2 linked regions of the Nothobranchius furzeri genome follow. The protein of the gene in region 1 purifies or fractionates together with the protein of each later gene. This does not show direct contact. Links are inferred from orthologs where the notes say so. Each region holds a gene or a part of one and is shown on either strand. Other genes may lie near its edges. The genes, in order: pex1 and pex26.

Evidence for each region.
Region 2: the proteins of pex1 (region 1) and pex26 purify together in Homo sapiens (affinity purification with western blotting; 3 studies listed by BioGRID and IntAct, with this or other methods). This does not show direct contact. The link is inferred for Nothobranchius furzeri from reciprocal best matches to the Homo sapiens genes PEX1 and PEX26.

The regions. Positions count from the first base shown.
Region 1 is NC_091759.1:22,190,421-22,194,236, forward strand, and holds part of pex1 (peroxisomal ATPase PEX1), read right to left. Parts: intron 1,599-3,816; coding exon 973-1,598; intron 896-972; coding exon 776-895; intron 711-775; coding exon 590-710; intron 474-589; coding exon 367-473; intron 1-366. UniProt on the Homo sapiens protein: Component of the PEX1-PEX6 AAA ATPase complex, a protein dislocase complex that mediates the ATP-dependent extraction of the PEX5 receptor from peroxisomal membranes, an essential step for PEX5 recycling.
Region 2 is NC_091741.1:43,002,431-43,006,966, forward strand, and holds pex26 (peroxisome assembly protein 26), read left to right. Parts: upstream 1-1,483; 5' UTR 1,484-1,613; coding exon 1,614-1,816; intron 1,817-1,904; coding exon 1,905-2,045; intron 2,046-2,790; coding exon 2,791-3,116; intron 3,117-3,199; coding exon 3,200-3,340; intron 3,341-3,416; coding exon 3,417-3,514; 3' UTR 3,515-3,946; downstream 3,947-4,536. Other genes in the region: llph (protein LLP homolog), read right to left, coding at 1-66, 188-401. UniProt on the Homo sapiens protein: Peroxisomal docking factor that anchors PEX1 and PEX6 to peroxisome membranes. PEX26 is therefore required for the formation of the PEX1-PEX6 AAA ATPase complex, a complex that mediates the extraction of the PEX5 receptor from peroxisomal membrane.

The sequences.
Region 1 (3,816 bases):
ATTCACGAAAATTTTATAGAAATAAAAGAATCTTGTTTATTGGGTCTTTGGGTATTTAAGACCTTTGGAAACTCTAAGGATTATTTGTCATTTTTAAGGATTTTTAAGGCCTTAAATTTGGAAAAGCAAATTTAAGACTTTTTAAGACTTGTTAAGGACCTGCAGATACCCTGAAACAAGGTATTCAAAATTTTCTGCAAAAAAATGGCGTTTTACCCATGTTCCCATAGTGGAACCGGGCCTATTGATACTGCTGCAGCAGGAGGCTGTCACACCATCCTCCTACACCCTACAATCTCAAGCCCCAGCTGGCAAGCCCCTTCCAAATGTCTGCAGGAAGTTTGTAGCTCTAACGCACGAACGCACCTGTACGTCTCCCTTCTGCAGGACAGTGGGCGCCAGAAGAAAAAGCTGGTCGGGAGGATCGTTCAGCGGCTCCGGGTGCAGCACCGTCAGAGCCAGCTCCAGCTTTTCTATCGTTAGGAAATAAAAACAATTAGAATGGAGGTGTGTTTAATACGGCTTGGATCTAAAACTGTGGGTTTCTGTTTCTTCTGAAGCTCGTGACACAAGTTTAGAAATGAATCACCGTCGTTTCCGTGTAGGAGGACGGAGCTGCAGCGTGGAGTCAGACAGGCCAGAGGTTCGTGGCTCTGAGTGTGCAGCCAGCTGAGGAACGCCGTCTGGATCTCTTCGTCGGTCTCCTCGGGCTGAGGAGGAAAAATTCAGCACAAAAATGTACAAAAGCAGCAGAAACGTGAACTCCGGCGCCCACCTGAGGGCTCAGAGGCTGCAGGTGAACGCTGGTGGCGACTTTGATGGTCGACTTCACTGGTTTTATTCTCACTGTTGAATGTGGCTGGATGTGTAACTTGCTGCTCAGAGGCTGAGGGATCTGTGGAGACATGATTTCCTAACGGAGCTCAGTAGAAACAGCATGATGGTTTCATAGTTCTGCTCCAGCTGACTCACCCAGACTCTCCCGCTGTGGATCCCTCCCTCGTTGGGACCCGCCTGCGTCTCGGCGCAGTGGCACACGACCCTGACCACCACAGCTTCCTCCTCCGAAGCGCCACTTTCACCGCCGTGCTTCCGTTTCTCCGCAGCCTGCTTACTTTTGTCTCTCGCTTCTCTGGGGGATAAGACTTTGGAAAGGCGGCCGTAGGTGACCGCTGACTGGCCTCCTCTCGGCGCGGCGTTCCAGCAGAAGCTCCAGGGAAAAGTGTGAATGGCAGCAGCGTTGGCGTGATTTACGGTGCAAAGGGCGTCCGGCGGCGTGCTGCACACTCTGTAGATGGAGTCGGGGAGGATGGCGGGAACGTTCGGAACAGGAGGCTGCTCTTTAATCGGGTCGTAGCTGCCCTTCGTCACGTGTCGAAACAGGCTCTTTAGGTCAGCGACGCCACCCCACCGTCGGCTTTCAGGAGAGGAAGACGCTGCTGTCGCCTCCGAGGAGGATGGGAGCAGGTTTGCAGGGCTGTTGCTGAACTTCTCAAAAGACTCTGTGAGGGCGCCGATTCCCGCGCGGATCTTCGGAGACACGGCGAGCTCTGTGAACTGCTCCAGGCGGCCGTAGGGCACATGAGGGGCGAGCGACGCTGTGTGGAGTGGAAACAGATTGTTTGGGAAAACTATTTCACTAACACGAGCGGTGCTTTAGACGTCTCAGCTCTCCCACTCAATCTCAAATCACGTGCCACTAGCCTAGGTGTGAAACTGGACTCTGACCTTACAGTGTCTTCACAAGTCAGCGCTACTGTCAAGTCCTGCTTTGTCCAACTCCGCCGCATCACTCGTCTTAAGTCAGTCCTCAAACGCCCGGATCTCGAGTCAGTCATTCATGCTTTCATTACTTCACGTCTGGATTACGCAAACTCTGTCCTGATTGGGATTAATGCTTCAGCCTTAAACAAACTGCAGAAGGTTCAAAATGCCGCGACCAGATTTTTAACCAACACCGACAGACGCATGCACCTCGCACCCATCCTCGCAGATTTACACTGGCTCCCAGTCAAATTTAGGTTAACTTCAAGGTCTTATGTTTACAAGGCTTTGTACCGCCCATCCCCATCCCATCTGACGGACCTGCCGACCCCGTATGTTCCCACCCGTGCCCTTCGGCCAGCAGATCATCTGCTGCTTGTTGTTCCGAAGGTTCGGTACATGCCTTCATTACCTCTCGCCTGGACAAGGCAAACGCCCTCCTCGTTGGTGTTCCGGACTCTGCCCTGAATCGGCTGCAGGTCGTCCAGAACGCTGCTGCCAGGTTCTTGACGGGTACAAACCGACGTAGCCACATTACTCCTGTCCTGGCACATCTTCACTGGCTCCCTTCAGAGTGCAGTTTAAGTTACTGACTTTTGTTTTTAAAGCACTCAATGACCTCGCACCTCCCTACCTCTCTGCCCTTCTCACTCCATATGTGCCCACCCGCTCGTTGAGGTCGGCTGACCTTTTGCTGCTGTACACGCCGCGGATGAGATTTAAATCATGGGGGATCAAGCATTTGTCCATGCTGCCCCAAAGCTATGGAACTCATTGCCCATTGGAGTTCGGCAGGCTCCGTCTCTGGCGGTTTTTAAATCTTGTTTAAAGACCCACTTTTACACTTTGGCTTTTAGACAGTGACTCGTTTTAGTGTTCTATTGTATCATTGTTTTAATGTGTTTTTAGTATTCATCAAGGTTTATCTGCCTTTGATTGAGATTTTTATCCTTTGTTTTAGCTCCTTGTAATGGTTGTGTTTTGTTTTAGCCTGTGCAGCACTTTGGGCAGCTCCCATGCTGCATTTTAAACGTGCTGTATAAATAAACTATGCTGTGCTATGCTAAATCACGGGGGGAGCGTGCCTTCTCTTATGCAGCCCCAGAACTCTGGAACTCCGTGTGCGTCTGGCTCCCTCTGTTAGCAGCTTCAAGTCGGCCCTGAAAACGCACTTGTTTAGCATTGCCTTCCCTCCGTGACACTTTTCATGACAATCCAGCACCGGATTCGATTTTTTAATTCCGTTTTTATGATTCAGTTGCTCACTTTTGGCACCTCGCACCATCTGGTAGCTTATTTCGTTTTATTTGTGCCATTTCAAATGTTTTTGTCGTTCGTCACATTACTTTATTTTTTATAGTGCTGTTAACTGTTCTCCTATTTTATTGTTTTTAGTAGGAATTTTTATCTCCGACTCTTTATGCTTTGTTCTTATGTATTTTGCCTGTTCTTATTGTGTTTCTTGTTCAAGCATTTGGCTTTTCTATGCGCAGCACTTTGGTTAGCTGCCATGCTATTTTGAAATGGTGCTTTATAAATAAATATGGTATGGTATTTATGGATTTATTACTGATTAAAGTACAAAAAGGCTCTTTGATAACCCAACGCAATCACTTTGTCAAAGACACAAGATGGTCCACAGCAGATCTTAAAAACTGAAGTAGAAAGAATGAACGCACACTGTTACGGGCTCACACAGAGGTTAGGACACCAATAATCGCACATACTGGAAAACAAAACATAACGCAAGTCGGTGTGAGGTTTGTCAGAGACACGGACCGTTTCTCCACACTCGAGAACGCGAGTCCGTTCTTGCCTACTAGACAAGTATGTCCTGGGCAAAGACACCAGGAAGTCTGTTCTACGGAGGACGGCGTTTGGAACAGAACCATGCTCCGTTGTGTCCTGGCAACAAACGCTGCTTCTTCCTATGGTTAAAGAGCAAGTCACCCCCAAACAACATTTTTTTCCTGATAAACTATATAAATGAGCGTCTAATCGTGCTGCAGACACGTCATCAATAGTTTGGCACTTCAGTGCATCTTAGTTAAA
Region 2 (4,536 bases), on another chromosome or scaffold:
GATACTGTCCATGTTCATCCAACAGAGTTTTCTTGTTTCGTGTCTTGTCCATGTCCATCTTCCCATCTGAAACATAAATGAAAGGAAGAGCTTAAGAAAGCAAGCAGGTATGAAGCAAAAAAAAAATAAATAAATAAATACATTGTTACAATCCACAAAAACGTAAGAAATAACCACCATTCCTCACCATCCTCCTTTTCTTCCTCCATTTCAACATCCATCTTCTTTATCTTGTCAGCCGGCACCACTGTGGCGATGTCCTGTAAGTCAGCCATTTCGGCCTCTCCTTTCTTGTCCAAATTCAGAGCTTGTTTGAGTCGAGCAAGCTCCTTAGGAGCATTTTTCTTTCTCTTCTCCGCTCGCATTTTACGCTTCCATTTGCTCCTGAGGCTTTTAGCCATTTTTAAAGATGCTTTAGAAAAACAAGAAAAAAACGAAGTTAAACATTTGTATAGAATTAATCAAGTAACACCAAAATATTGATCAAGCCTCTCTGTTTCTGTTTTAGTCCTCGTGATTTACTGCTGTACTGAGTTTGCAGTTCAATTCAATTTTAAATTGGCATCAGAAGCTCTTATGTACGATGTTCCACAGGGTTCTATTCTAGTCATGATTTTATTTGTCCATCACCTGCTTCTATTATACAACCCAATCACTACTATACTGATTATATTCAGATTTTAACACTCATCCGTCATTGAGTTTTCCATCAGATAGAGGTGTATGGAATCTACTAAACTCTGGTTAAATGATAACTTTCTCCCAGCTGGAAAATAACAGAGGTTCTCAACATGGTCTCAGATTACGGGCCACTTACGTTTGTTTGCCTCGTACATTCAACCTGCTTTTAAACACTTGTGAGTTTCTTTTCATAGTAATGTGTTATTTTACTCTCCATTCATCTCATTTGTTCATATTTAACTTCAAATAAACCCAACTTGCTTGTAATTCCTTAAAATAACTTAATAATTTTTTAAAAGTTATTTCGAAGTTTTTTAGGTGATAGATGAACGTTTATTTGAAACCAGTCTACTAAATTAAAAGCAAATATGCTAAGAAAACAGTGTTTGAATGTGCTTAGGTCGAGTCTAAACACAATACATTTGGACTAAATACAGTACGACAAGAGTAAATTAAATGCAATACATTGTTATTAGTTTAAAAATTTACTATTTAAACTTTAAGCTGCCATTTAAACCCGTTAAAACTACGCTAGCTAGCTAAACGATACAGTAAATATTTCCCCACTCTACTTGTTACGGCAGTAAAAACCCGCGTTAAACGCTCCCAAACATCACACAGTAATATAACACGTGTATGATTTGATATGATATTATGATATGATAACAACAAAGTGTTACTCACAAATAGCTCAACGTTTTAGCTTAGAACGCGTTGCTCCGTGCACGTGTGTACAGTAAAGAAGCCGTGACGTGATTGGCTGTTAAGGACGATCTGAAGATTGTGACATCTGATTGGCTGGTGATCAAAATCCAGGAAGTTCCGGTCATCTTGTGTAAATAAAATAATGAGAGTTTGTTCGGTAGCATCTGCGATATTACCGACGTAGACTGACATAGTATCATAAATATATTTTAAATTTATTTTCTTAAATGTCTTCTGGTGTCATGAGCAGCTGCTCAAACGGCAGCTTTGGTTCGGATTTTAGCCCTCCGCCGCCCTCCTTATCTCAGATGTTTAACATGTTGGACTCGGCTGCAGAGCTCATGATGGTCCACAGAGACTTCCACGCTGCTTTAGGCACGTGCAACAGAGGTTTGGAGAGTCTCGCGTGCATGGAGTTGGAGGAGAACAGGTTGGTGACATCAAATCACTTCACAGCTGCTATTTTGTGTTGTTAAATTTGAGTTTAATAGCCTGTGTTGTGCGTTTTCCTTCTACAGATGTGAAGAGTTAAAGGCCGCTTTCTGCATGTTGGGTGTTCAGGCGCTGGCTGAGCTTAATCAGTGGCATGGTGTCTTCTCCTGGGTTCTGCAGCAATATGAGCACCTGGAAATCATACCTGCAAAGATAATGCAGACATGGTGAGAGAGAGAGAGAGAGCACACTTGCCTAGATATGTTGAATAGTATGAAAACCGTAAAATCCCAAACCTTTTGACTGAAAAATGTGAATAGAATCATAAATTAGTTATTTGTGATTATATAACAAGCCCTGCATTCAGTTCAAATGAGTTCAAACACAACACAAATTAATATTAATGGATTAGACCCAAGGACCCAAAACACTTTAAAGATAATCCATCATATTCACTCATTCATTCACACGCTGGGGTGACGGTGGGTCAGGGGTCAGTTTCCCTGTAACCAGTGTGTTACCGGTTCAAACCCAGTCTTTGTCCGTCTCTCAGTGTGCCTCAGGGCAGCTGTGGCTAGAATGTAGGTTTTCACCATCAGTGTGTGAATGGGTGATTAACTGACTGACTGCAGTGTAAAGCACTTTGGAGTCCTCTGAATCTGAAAGGTGCTTTTCGAGTCCAGATGATTTATCATTTATTCCCATTGTGGTGGTGATTGTAAACTGCATACCAGCCACAGCCACCCTGAGACAATTTGACAGAGACTAGGCCACTATGTTGCACCACTGGCAGGAAAGGCAGATGAAGTGCCTTGCCCAAGGGCACAACAGCAGCAGCCATCCACATACTCCATCTGAAAAAACTTCTTAGTGTACACATGATCATAAAGAGGAGAAAATATGTGTTAAACTTTGACACCCCCCCCCCCCCAAGACATAATCAGAAATTATAATGTTCTCTACTTTTTGCAGCATTCTCCTTTTCTCCAAGGTGGGCGAGCCTGCTGTGATGCAGGAGGCAACCAGAGTTTGGTTACACTGCTCCTCAAACGGCCAAGCGGCAGGTTTTCGTACTGTCGCAGAGCTTTATCTGCTGCACATTCTTCTGCCTCTTGGACATTTAGAGGAAGCAAGGGAGCTCATTTCAGGTGACGTTGGTAGGACTGCATTCACAGAAGACCAGAGACAAACTGCGCTGGATGTTGTGGAGGAAAAAACACGACAAAATGAGGAATTGTTTTTAAATCCCAGGAGCCCTCCAGACTCTGATGCTGCGGCACGTCCTGCTTCTACTCGAGGTCTAATAGTTCAGCCCTGTTCTTCCTGTGTGTATAATAATATATGACATAATCATAACTGTCTTAATGATTGTGTTCTGCAGGTACTGTAATGCGTAAACTGGAAGCCATGCTGAGGTTTTTGCATAGAAAATGCTTGATGACCGGCTCAGGCTCATTTCCTCTCCGGAAAGTTTTCCTTGCAGCTGTTCTTCTCTACATGCTTTTCCTCCGACTGGATCCAGGTTGGATGAAATTTTCATAGTCATACTTATTTCCTTTATAATGTTTAACAAGAGTAATCTGTGTTTTTCCCTTCAGCCCATCCATCTTCATTCATGTGGATTTCTAAACTTCTTACGCTGATCAGGCAGATGTGGAGAAGCATGTTTGCACCATATTATCAAGCTCTCACGTAGAGCAAAGGCTTGTAAAAGACACTGTTGTAATGTGTTTGATTAATTCATGTAATTCTCTCAAATCTGTTAAAAGCCACTTTTATTCTCTCTTCAACTATTATATTAGCTGTGACTTTATTTCCCCACCAACATATTTTATTACCTGGTTTGTAGTCACCGGTTAATCGACTTACCTGTTCATAAACTCACATTTACTTCACTGACCTATCCGTAAATCCAGACATCAGGATTTCTCTGGTTTTAAGTCACAAATCCAGTTTAGAGTAGAAAATAGTCACAGCCAATAAGAGAAGGCTGCTTCTCATTGGCTGGTCCTCCACAGAGGGGTGAGGGGTGTTGCTTCGGTTGGTCTAGAACAAAACACATATTGCATCATGAATGATAACCCAGGGTTACTGATGTGCCCTTAACCTCAATAAAAAATAAACGCCATGCATGGATTGTTCTTATTTTCTTGTCTTTTAAAGATGTTGGTTACCAATTTAATAATAATACATTTTATTTCAACAGTGCCCTTCTAAACACTCGACACGTTACAGACAGAGATAAAATACACAAAAATAAAAGATAGAACAGCATAAAACAAACAGACGGATTGGAGCAAAGAGAGTAACTATTGGAATGCTAGACGGAACGGGTGGGTTTTGAGTCTGGTTTTAAAGAGAGTGAGGGAATCAATGTTACGGAGGTCAGGAGGGAGTGAGTTCCAGATCTGGGGAGCAGAGCGACTGAAGGCCCTGCTCCCCATAGTGACCAGACAGAAAGGTGGGACAGAGAGGTGGATGGAGGAGGAGGACCTGAGGGAACGGGTTCAGGTTGAAGGATGAAGGAGGTCTGAGAGGTACGGGGGAGCTAGGTTATGGATGGCTTTGAATGTATACAGCAGAATTTTGAATTGGATTCTGGAAGTGACTGGGAGCCAGTGGAGCTGCTGAAGAACAGGGGTGATGTGGTGGAAGGAGGGAGTTCTGGTAATGATGCGGGCTGCCAAGTTCTGGAGAAGTTGGAGTTTATGGAGGGAT